Linked DNA regions of Tamandua tetradactyla. The protein of the gene in region 1 purifies or fractionates together with the protein of each later gene. This does not show direct contact. Links are inferred from orthologs where the notes say so. Each region holds a gene or a part of one and is shown in the gene's direction. Other genes may lie near its edges.

Region 1 (3,906 bases):
GCTTGATCTTTATCTGGCTGGACTGATCTGTCTCACGAGAAGTCATGAAGTCATAAGGGAGAATCCTCTCCCCTCCATCTTCTCCAAAGGAGGAAAAAGAAATCCCATTAGGGGTTGAAACCCTTAAAATATAAAATACCTTCCTGAGAGAGGTGTGATGGGTCTTTTTTAATCATTCCAATCATCAGCATATCATATTGCTTTCCCTTGTTGAATGCAATAAAACTCCATGCCACCAGCAACCGTTGTTCTTTAGAAATGGGTTTTCTGACCATGTGGCTGATGTATTATGGGCAGTATGGTCTTCATTTGTTGCTTCTGTTTTTCATCTTTTTTGTTTTCTTAATTAAAAAAAAAATTTGTGTATTTGCTCCCAATGCTTTCACAATATAGAAAATAAATTATTGAATTAAAATTCCTTCACAAAAATGCCTTTTTTATTTTTCCTTTCCTTTTTCTGAGGATATATGTGCTTGGGGGTACAAAGACCAAATGAAGAGTTCTAGTCTTCAGTGTATTGAGCTTCCCAATTAAGGATGTGGGTTTCTAGACAGAAGGCTGTGAATGGCACAGTAGGGGGTGTCAATAGTATAGGTATGGACAACTTATTCTCCATCTTTGCAGGAGTTCAGCTAATGGTGGGGACCTGGGAGAACTGGGAAGATGTGACCCTCCCTCTTTCCCAGGGCTCTGGACTTGGTCACACTCTCAACTCTAAAAGGGAGTGGGCCTCACAGTCCCATCTTTTAACTAAAAGAAGCTGAATCCAGTGTTCCGTAGGCTTCCTGGGAAAGATGTCCTCTGTCTGGAGCGCAGGAGTGATACAGCAGGGTCCTGGGAAAGTGAAGGAGAAAATGCCTAGCCCTTTAGCCAGAGGGGCAGTGAAGAAAGTGGGTGGATGAATAGAGGTTGTTGCCAGTACTTCTTGGCTAAAGAGGCCTTTGGTTGGTAGAAAAACCTGGCTTGATGTGGCCCCACGAAGTGAGTTGGGCTGGAGGCGGAGACTGCTCTGATGTGGGAAGCAGAGCAGAGCTTTTTTTCCCTTTGAGAATTTTTAACTCTATTTGAACCAGAGACTTGCTTGACACACCACCCCAAGCCATTAAAAAATAATAATATATATATATTTTTTTCACTTCCCATTCTGCACCAGCCTCAGTAGCCCCATTTGTGGAAAGAGAAATAGGCATTTTTCGGTACCCAGATGGGAGCAGGTTGGGGGGGATCATAGACGGTAGCAACCTAGGAAGAGGCAAAAGATCAGGAACTTGAAAATAGTTTAGTACTGGGGTTTATTTTTTTTAGAACCAATGCTTTTCTTTTTACTATGATTCTTCTTCCCATCCCACATTGTTCCTCAAAGGCCCTTCTGGCATAAGGATTTCAGAACAATTGCCACCGCATCCCCATTCCCATATACCTGAAGTGGGACTCCCCACCCACCTACCCACTACCAGCTCCCAGAAGCTGCCACGCAGCTGGCTGAGAAAGGGAAGGGAGAGGGCTCCTCCCTGAAAGGGGAAGCGACAAGGGTGGCGGCGACGTCTCTAAGGGATTTAACCTCCTACCCTCAGTTACTCGACGCCACCCCCCTCCCTCCAAAGAAAGACTGGGACGGCGCCTCCATTTTTGTTTGGGGGAGGAGGGGCAGAGGATCGGGGGCCGAAGGGGTCAAAGGAAACGGTGATTATCACCTGTGAGGGGTAAGGGGGTGCTGTCCTCCTTCCCTTCCCCTCAGTCTGCACCCTCTGCAAGTCTCCCCCTCTCGGGGTCTCCCCCCCTTGTTGCTAAGGCCCGGACCGTCATCCCAGCAACAGCCTCAGTCATGTGACCGGCAATGGCGGCGCTGACGAGAGGTAGGTGAGCCCGGCGGCCCCCACACCCACCGCGCGACCCCCGGATCCCGCTCGCGCCCCGCGCGCGGCCCCCGCTCCCTCTGCGTCCGCTCCTCGGCCCTCTTCCCCCTTGCATGGCTCTAGGGGCCCACTCATGCCCGGCCGATCATCTTAACATCATCCTCCAGCATTGGCTTCCATTTGGGGGTTCCGGGAACCGCGATCCGCGGACATGCACCCCCAACCCAGCGGCAGGGCTCCGTAGGGTCCGGCGAAAAGGGGATGTAGGGGGTTGGTTCCGGGTCGGGTCTCGGTGAAGGCTGTGGGGGGAGGGGTGGAGCTGCCTCAGTGGCTGTCCCCAGGGGCCCTTGCCCTTCCCGGCCTCCCCTAATCCAGGCCATCATCTGGAAGGAGGGCTTAGCCGGCGTCCGGCCTGGGTTGCCCCAGAGGAATCACAGACCCAGCACAAACCGTGGCACCTCCTCCCTTTTCTATGCCAGCAGGACTTGCAGCTAGGACACCTAGGTCCTAGGTCTCCTCTGACTGGGGGTTGGGGGAGTAGGGTGAGAGGAGATTCCACCCGGGAAAGACACTGGGGGCGGAGGCCCTAGGGTTCCAGCTTCACTTGGTGAATCTTGAGGTGACTCCAGTCTTGAGAGGACTATGATGGAGACACAAACCAACAGCTGCTCCCCTTTGAATCAGTCAAGGAATTGAGGTCACACTAATGGCCCCTCTTTCCATATGAGCTGTACTTGGAGGTGTTGTGGGTATAGCTCTATACCTGAACGTGACAAGACTTGGGGGAAACATCAGGGCCCTTCAGCTGAGCACCCTGTGTGAGCCCAACCCCTCCCTGAATGCAGATGAGGGCGCTAACAGGCTGTGCTGGTTTTAAAAGGTGACAGTGAGAACTTTGTTATTGCAGGGGCCGCTGCCACTTTGTTTGCATTCCTAACAGACTGGAAGAGAAGGGACTGAGGTTAGCGCACAACGAAGGCTCCCTAGCAGTAGGGGCTGAATTATTTGGGAACGTGGAGTAGGGCATAGAGTTGGAGGAGCATAGAAAATATTCCCATCCATGTAATCTGAGGGAGGTGGCAAGAAAGACCTCCACCTATGTAGGCTTTTCCCTTCCTGACTTTTCATCTGTGCCCCAGGCTTTCTTGAGGGTCTCAGAGCTGGAGAGGTGGGGGGTGGGAAGGTTAGCATGTTGAAGTTCCTTCTTGAACAACTTGGGGAGAGCCTGGGGATGAGAGTCTACAGGAGTGAGGGAGAGGAAATGGAACAGGAGTTTTTATTTTATTTCTGGACTGGCTGGGGAAAAAAATGGTAACGATTGTCATCATAACACTTTAACTTCTCCTAGTCCTGGTCAGCTGAGTGTGGTGGAAACAGAGGGATTTCTGCTGTCATCATTGTCCATGGGCTTTCCAGGTACCTCCGCTACCCCCTACCTACCCCTACAGGAAACTTCAACTTTCACCCTTAACTCGGTTCCCTCCATTCCATGTCCAAGGTAATCCCATTGCCAGTAATCCACTCCAGGCCCCCATCTCTTTGTTACACGGCTGCCGGGTTGGGATATGTGGTGACTGGGGGTTTCCTAATTTTCCTCCTTTTTCTTTTCACCCCATTAGGTCCTACAACCCACAAGTAGGGAGAGGAAAAGCGAGAGAGAGCCTGCATGCCAATTCTAAGCTCTTCAGGATCAAAGTGAGCGAAAAGGAGGGTCAAAAAGCTTCCCTCCCCTTTAAAGAGCCCATTATTCACCCAGAGTGGGGAGGGAGCAGATTGTTTCTGTGGTCTGGGAGAAGTGTAAGGAGAACCAAGACTGATTGCTGGGCTTAGTGGATAATAAAAGTTATAGGAGCTTTTGAGCTCTTTAGGGGGTGCTGGGGTTTGGAAGCTCTGGGAGGACAGAAAATGAATTTGGGGGGAGGGGTGGATTTTTGAGAGAATAGAGGTAATACAGGGTTTGGAAGGAACCTGAAGGGAGACAGTGATATTTGTCAAAAGGGATTTCCCCGCCCTGAGTCCCCTTCACCTTTGGGGCAGTGTCGTTCGTCCT
Region 2 (3,906 bases), on another chromosome or scaffold:
GTGGCTAGAGGGAAGTACCTGAAGCTGTTGAGCTGTGTCCCAGTAGCCTTGATTCTTGAAGATGATTCTATAACTATACACCTTACAATGTGACTGAGTGATTGTGAAAACCTTGTGTCTGATGCTCCTTTTATCTATGGTATGGACAGATGAGTAAAACATGGATTAAAAATAAATAATAGGGGGAAAAATAAATTTAGTAGATTGAAATGCTAGCAATCAATGAAAGGGACTGGTCAGGGGTATAGAAAAAAATAGGGAAAACAAAGGCTAAATTGGGTAGATCGAAATACTAGCAGTCAATGAGAGGGAGGGGTATGGAATGTATGAGTTTTTTTCTTTTTATTTCTTTTTCTGAATTGATGCAAATGTTCTAAGAAATGATCATGGTGATGAATATATAACTATGTGATGATATTGTGAGTTATTGATTATATACCAAGAATGGAATGATCATATGGTAAGAATGTGTTTGTATGTTATGTTTCAAAAAAATTATGTAAAAAAAATGAAATGTAGTTCTACCACTATAATAAAGTTATGTGTAATGTAATAAAAAAAAGCTAAGACATTCTTTTAGATAGAAGGAGTCTAAAAAGACAACCTAATATCAATTGCTCCCTAAGATCCTGGAATGGGGTTGGGGGACTCAGTTATAATGGGCATTACTGAGAAGTGGGGAAATTTTAACGTAGACTATATATTAGATAATAGAATTATGTCAAGTGTGAAATTTCATGAGTATGACAATTGTACTGTGTTTATGAAGGAGAATGTCTTTGTTCTTAGGAAATACATGCTGAAGTATTTGGGGTGAAGGGTTATTATGTCTGTAAATAAGTCCCAAAAGATTCAAAGCTTCAGCAAAAAAAGTGTGTGAAGAGAGAGAGCTAGAGAGAGAGAGAGAGAGAGAGAGAGAGAGAGAGAGAGAGAGAGAGAGAAGGCATAAATGTAGCCAAATATTAGCAACTGGTGAGTCTAGGTGAAGGGTATATGGCTGTTCGTTGTACATTTTTGTAACTTTTCTGAAGGCTTGAAATTTTTTAAAATAAAAAGTTACACGGAGAAAAAAAAAAAAGATGGCACAGAACAATATAAATTTGGAAAACAGTGACTGAAGCACAAAGCCCATCCCAGTTCTGGCAGCCTATGGATCTGGTGTCCACATTTTCCAGATTGCCCTCGACTTCTCCCTCCCACCACTCGGAGGGGCCGTGGGGCGGGGCCCGCCGCCGGCCCCGCCCCCGCGCTAGCGGGCTGTGCGCTCCGCTCCCCGGGCTCTGACTCGGCCGCGGCCCCGCCCCCGCGCCGGTCCCGCCCCCCGCGCTAGCGGGCTTTGCGCTCCGCTCCCCGCTCTCTGACTCGGCCGCGGTCCCGCGCCCCGGCGGGCTTTGAGCTCCGCTCGGCGAGAGCTCGCTCGGCCGCGGCCCCGCCCCGCGCCGGCCCCGCCCCCCGCGCTAGCGGGCTTTGCGCTCCGCTCCCCGCGCGCTGGCTCGGCCGCGGCTTCGACCCCGCCCCCTCGGGCTCCTCCCTCTCAGCCGCCGTTGCGGGCGCTCAGCTGCAGCAAGATGGCGGCGCAGCAGCAGGACCGTGAGGGCCGTGCGCAGCTGGCGGGGCCCGCGGCGGCGGCGGAGGCCGACCCTCTGGGCCGCTTCACCTGTCCCGTGTGCCTGGAGGTGTTCGAGAAGCCGGTGCAGGTGCCCTGCGGACACGTGTAAGCGACGGGCCGGGCCTGGGAGGGGGCGCCTGACCGGGGGGCAGGGATACCAGGGTGAGGCCCGCCCGGGAAGTGCTCCGCGGCGGGAGCGCCGGCCGAGGCCCCCAGCCAAGACCTCCGGGGTCGCGGGGGTCGGCGGGACGCTTTTACCTCCCGCCTGCTCACCCCAGGTTCCCGGCCCTCGCCTGCCTCGGGGGCGGCCCTCTCGGTCGGCCGCGCACCTGCTGTCAGTGGAGCCGCGCGCCTGCCGCCGGCGGTTGTCGGCTCCACCCGCAAGAGCCGGAAGGGACGGCCTCGTCTGGTCTCCTCCAGAACATGGAGCTCCTCCGGCGCCGCGCAGCCAGCTCTGCCGAGTCAGTTCTCGTGTGCGGCGAGGTTGGAGAAACGCTGACCTAGACTGAAAGAGGGGGAAGTCTGCGCGTCCAGCCGGTCTGCGGTTTCTCCGGCGGCTGGGGAGCGGCAGTTGGGCGTGGCGGGCCTTTCTCCAGGCGTACGGGGCTCGCTCCCTTCGCTTTTAGATTAGGCCCCTATGCCCTGCGTGTGTTAACAGGCTGGTTATGACGCCAAGGAGATATATGTGAGGATGTCCACTGAGTCCTTGGAGGGGGCTGGTTTTGCGTCTGAGCCTCGTTCCGCAGGCAGACCAACGCGCCTAAGCTGAAAGAGTTGTAGAACCCCGAGCCACCCGCTTCTTGCCGTGGAGAGTTGGCATTTCCTCCTTGGCCTCCCTTAACGCTTATCGCGGGCATTGAACTTGGGAACGTTTCACGAGCCTCTGGGCCCAGCAGACCCCTGGGGGTCTGCTGGGCGTCATGGCCGTTCTTGCTTATTCCTATAGCAGTCCTTCAAGGGAGGAGCAGGGTTGGCGGCAGTTGTACAGGTGAGGGGACCACTGCTTAAATCTTCCCGACTGAACTGCAGGCATCTGTTTTCCAGACCAGAGAGCAGTGCTTGGCACCTGGCAAGGACTCGCTAGCCACACTGGCCACCGCTCACTTCTAGACCACTCAACTGTTTTCAGCTTTGGGCTGTAGCTACTTGGGCTTCATTTGGCCGGGAACTCTCCTACCCTGTCTGTATACCCCCTCCCTCCTTCCTTCTCAGCCTTCAGTCCCAATTTAAATTATACCTCCCTCATCCCATCCCATCCAAATTACTCCCACCTCACCTTCTCCCCTGGGGCTTCCTCCCTTGCACTGAGCAAAATTTAGGGTTACCATATCTGTTTTGCCCCTCCCCATATATCAGTGTCCAGCACAATGTTTGACCGTCTTCCAATCTTCTGTTCAGCTGACTGTAAACTAGGTGATTTTGCCTTCAGAATTGACGGTCCCGTGAACTGATTGTAAATAAGTGTTAACAAATGTTGAAGTCATATATTTGGAGAGTACAACAAGGGACAAACGTGCATGTGAGGGGTGATCGGGAAATAAGTGAATTAACTAAAAAGTTAATGATGGAAACAAGTTTCAAGAGAGTTGAAACAGAGTTCAGGTAGCTTTCTCAGTGGGTCCTCTTCTCTTTAGATTGAAGTTTACCAAAATTTGGATTAATTGCTGGATCTCATTTAATGTTAACATTTGTAAAGAGGCGCGACCCAGCACAGTTTACCAACTGAAAAGCAGCAGAATTTGAAATTTCCTTGAAGTAACTGAACTTTTCCCAGGTCAGAGGTTAAAGGGCATTATTGACCATTCGAATGCTGATTGAGGACAGATGGAAGCACCTCTGTGAGGCCAGCAGAACTCTCACCCAGCTGCAGCCAACTGCTGCTTGTCTTCCTAGTTCTTTTGTGTTAACTTCTGTGCTTGAAAACTTACGCATCCCTGCAGCTCTGTCTGGGGCATTAGATTTTTATAAAACTTTATTTCAAGCCCTGAATGACTATATCCTTCTCCAGTGTAGTGGAATGTAGTTGGGGAGGGGCAGGTGGCTGGGTGCCCAAGGGGAGGGAGTTTCGAAAGAACACCAGGACAGAAAGGGTGGAGCATCCAATGGGCTGAATTTGAGAAAGGCCCATGAATCGGATATAGAAACTGAAAGCCAGCCCAAGATGCAGGGACTGCCTGAACGCAGCTTTGTTGATTGGCCATTACTCAGGCGCAGAGCGGCTTGTGAGCACTTGATGGACGAGCAATGCTTCAGTGTAGGCTTGCCCGGAGACTTGGGCTGCTTGGTTTCTCCTTGCT

What was found.
Region 2: the proteins of DTX3 (region 1) and RNF114 purify together in Homo sapiens (affinity purification with mass spectrometry; 3 studies listed by BioGRID and IntAct, counting the BioPlex papers as one, with this or other methods). This does not show direct contact. The link is inferred for Tamandua tetradactyla from reciprocal best matches to the Homo sapiens genes DTX3 and RNF114.

The regions. Positions count from the first base shown.
Region 1 is NC_135333.1:124,890,649-124,894,554, forward strand, and holds the start of DTX3 (putative E3 ubiquitin-protein ligase DTX3), read left to right. Parts: upstream 1-1,497; 5' UTR 1,498-1,856; intron 1,857-2,763; 5' UTR 2,764-2,817; intron 2,818-3,204; 5' UTR 3,205-3,272; intron 3,273-3,475; 5' UTR 3,476-3,550; coding exon 3,551-3,551; intron 3,552-3,893; coding exon 3,894-3,906. UniProt on the Homo sapiens protein: Regulator of Notch signaling, a signaling pathway involved in cell-cell communications that regulates a broad spectrum of cell-fate determinations.
Region 2 is NC_135327.1:2,776,095-2,780,000, reverse strand, and holds the start of RNF114 (E3 ubiquitin-protein ligase RNF114), read left to right. Parts: upstream 1-1,534; 5' UTR 1,535-1,568; coding exon 1,569-1,714; intron 1,715-2,171; exon of another isoform or gene 2,172-2,274; coding exon of another isoform or gene 2,275-2,294; intron 2,295-2,304; exon of another isoform or gene 2,305-2,529; coding exon of another isoform or gene 2,530-2,597; intron 2,598-3,906. UniProt on the Homo sapiens protein: E3 ubiquitin-protein ligase that promotes the ubiquitination of various substrates. In turn, participates in the regulation of many biological processes including cell cycle, apoptosis, osteoclastogenesis as well as innate or adaptive immunity.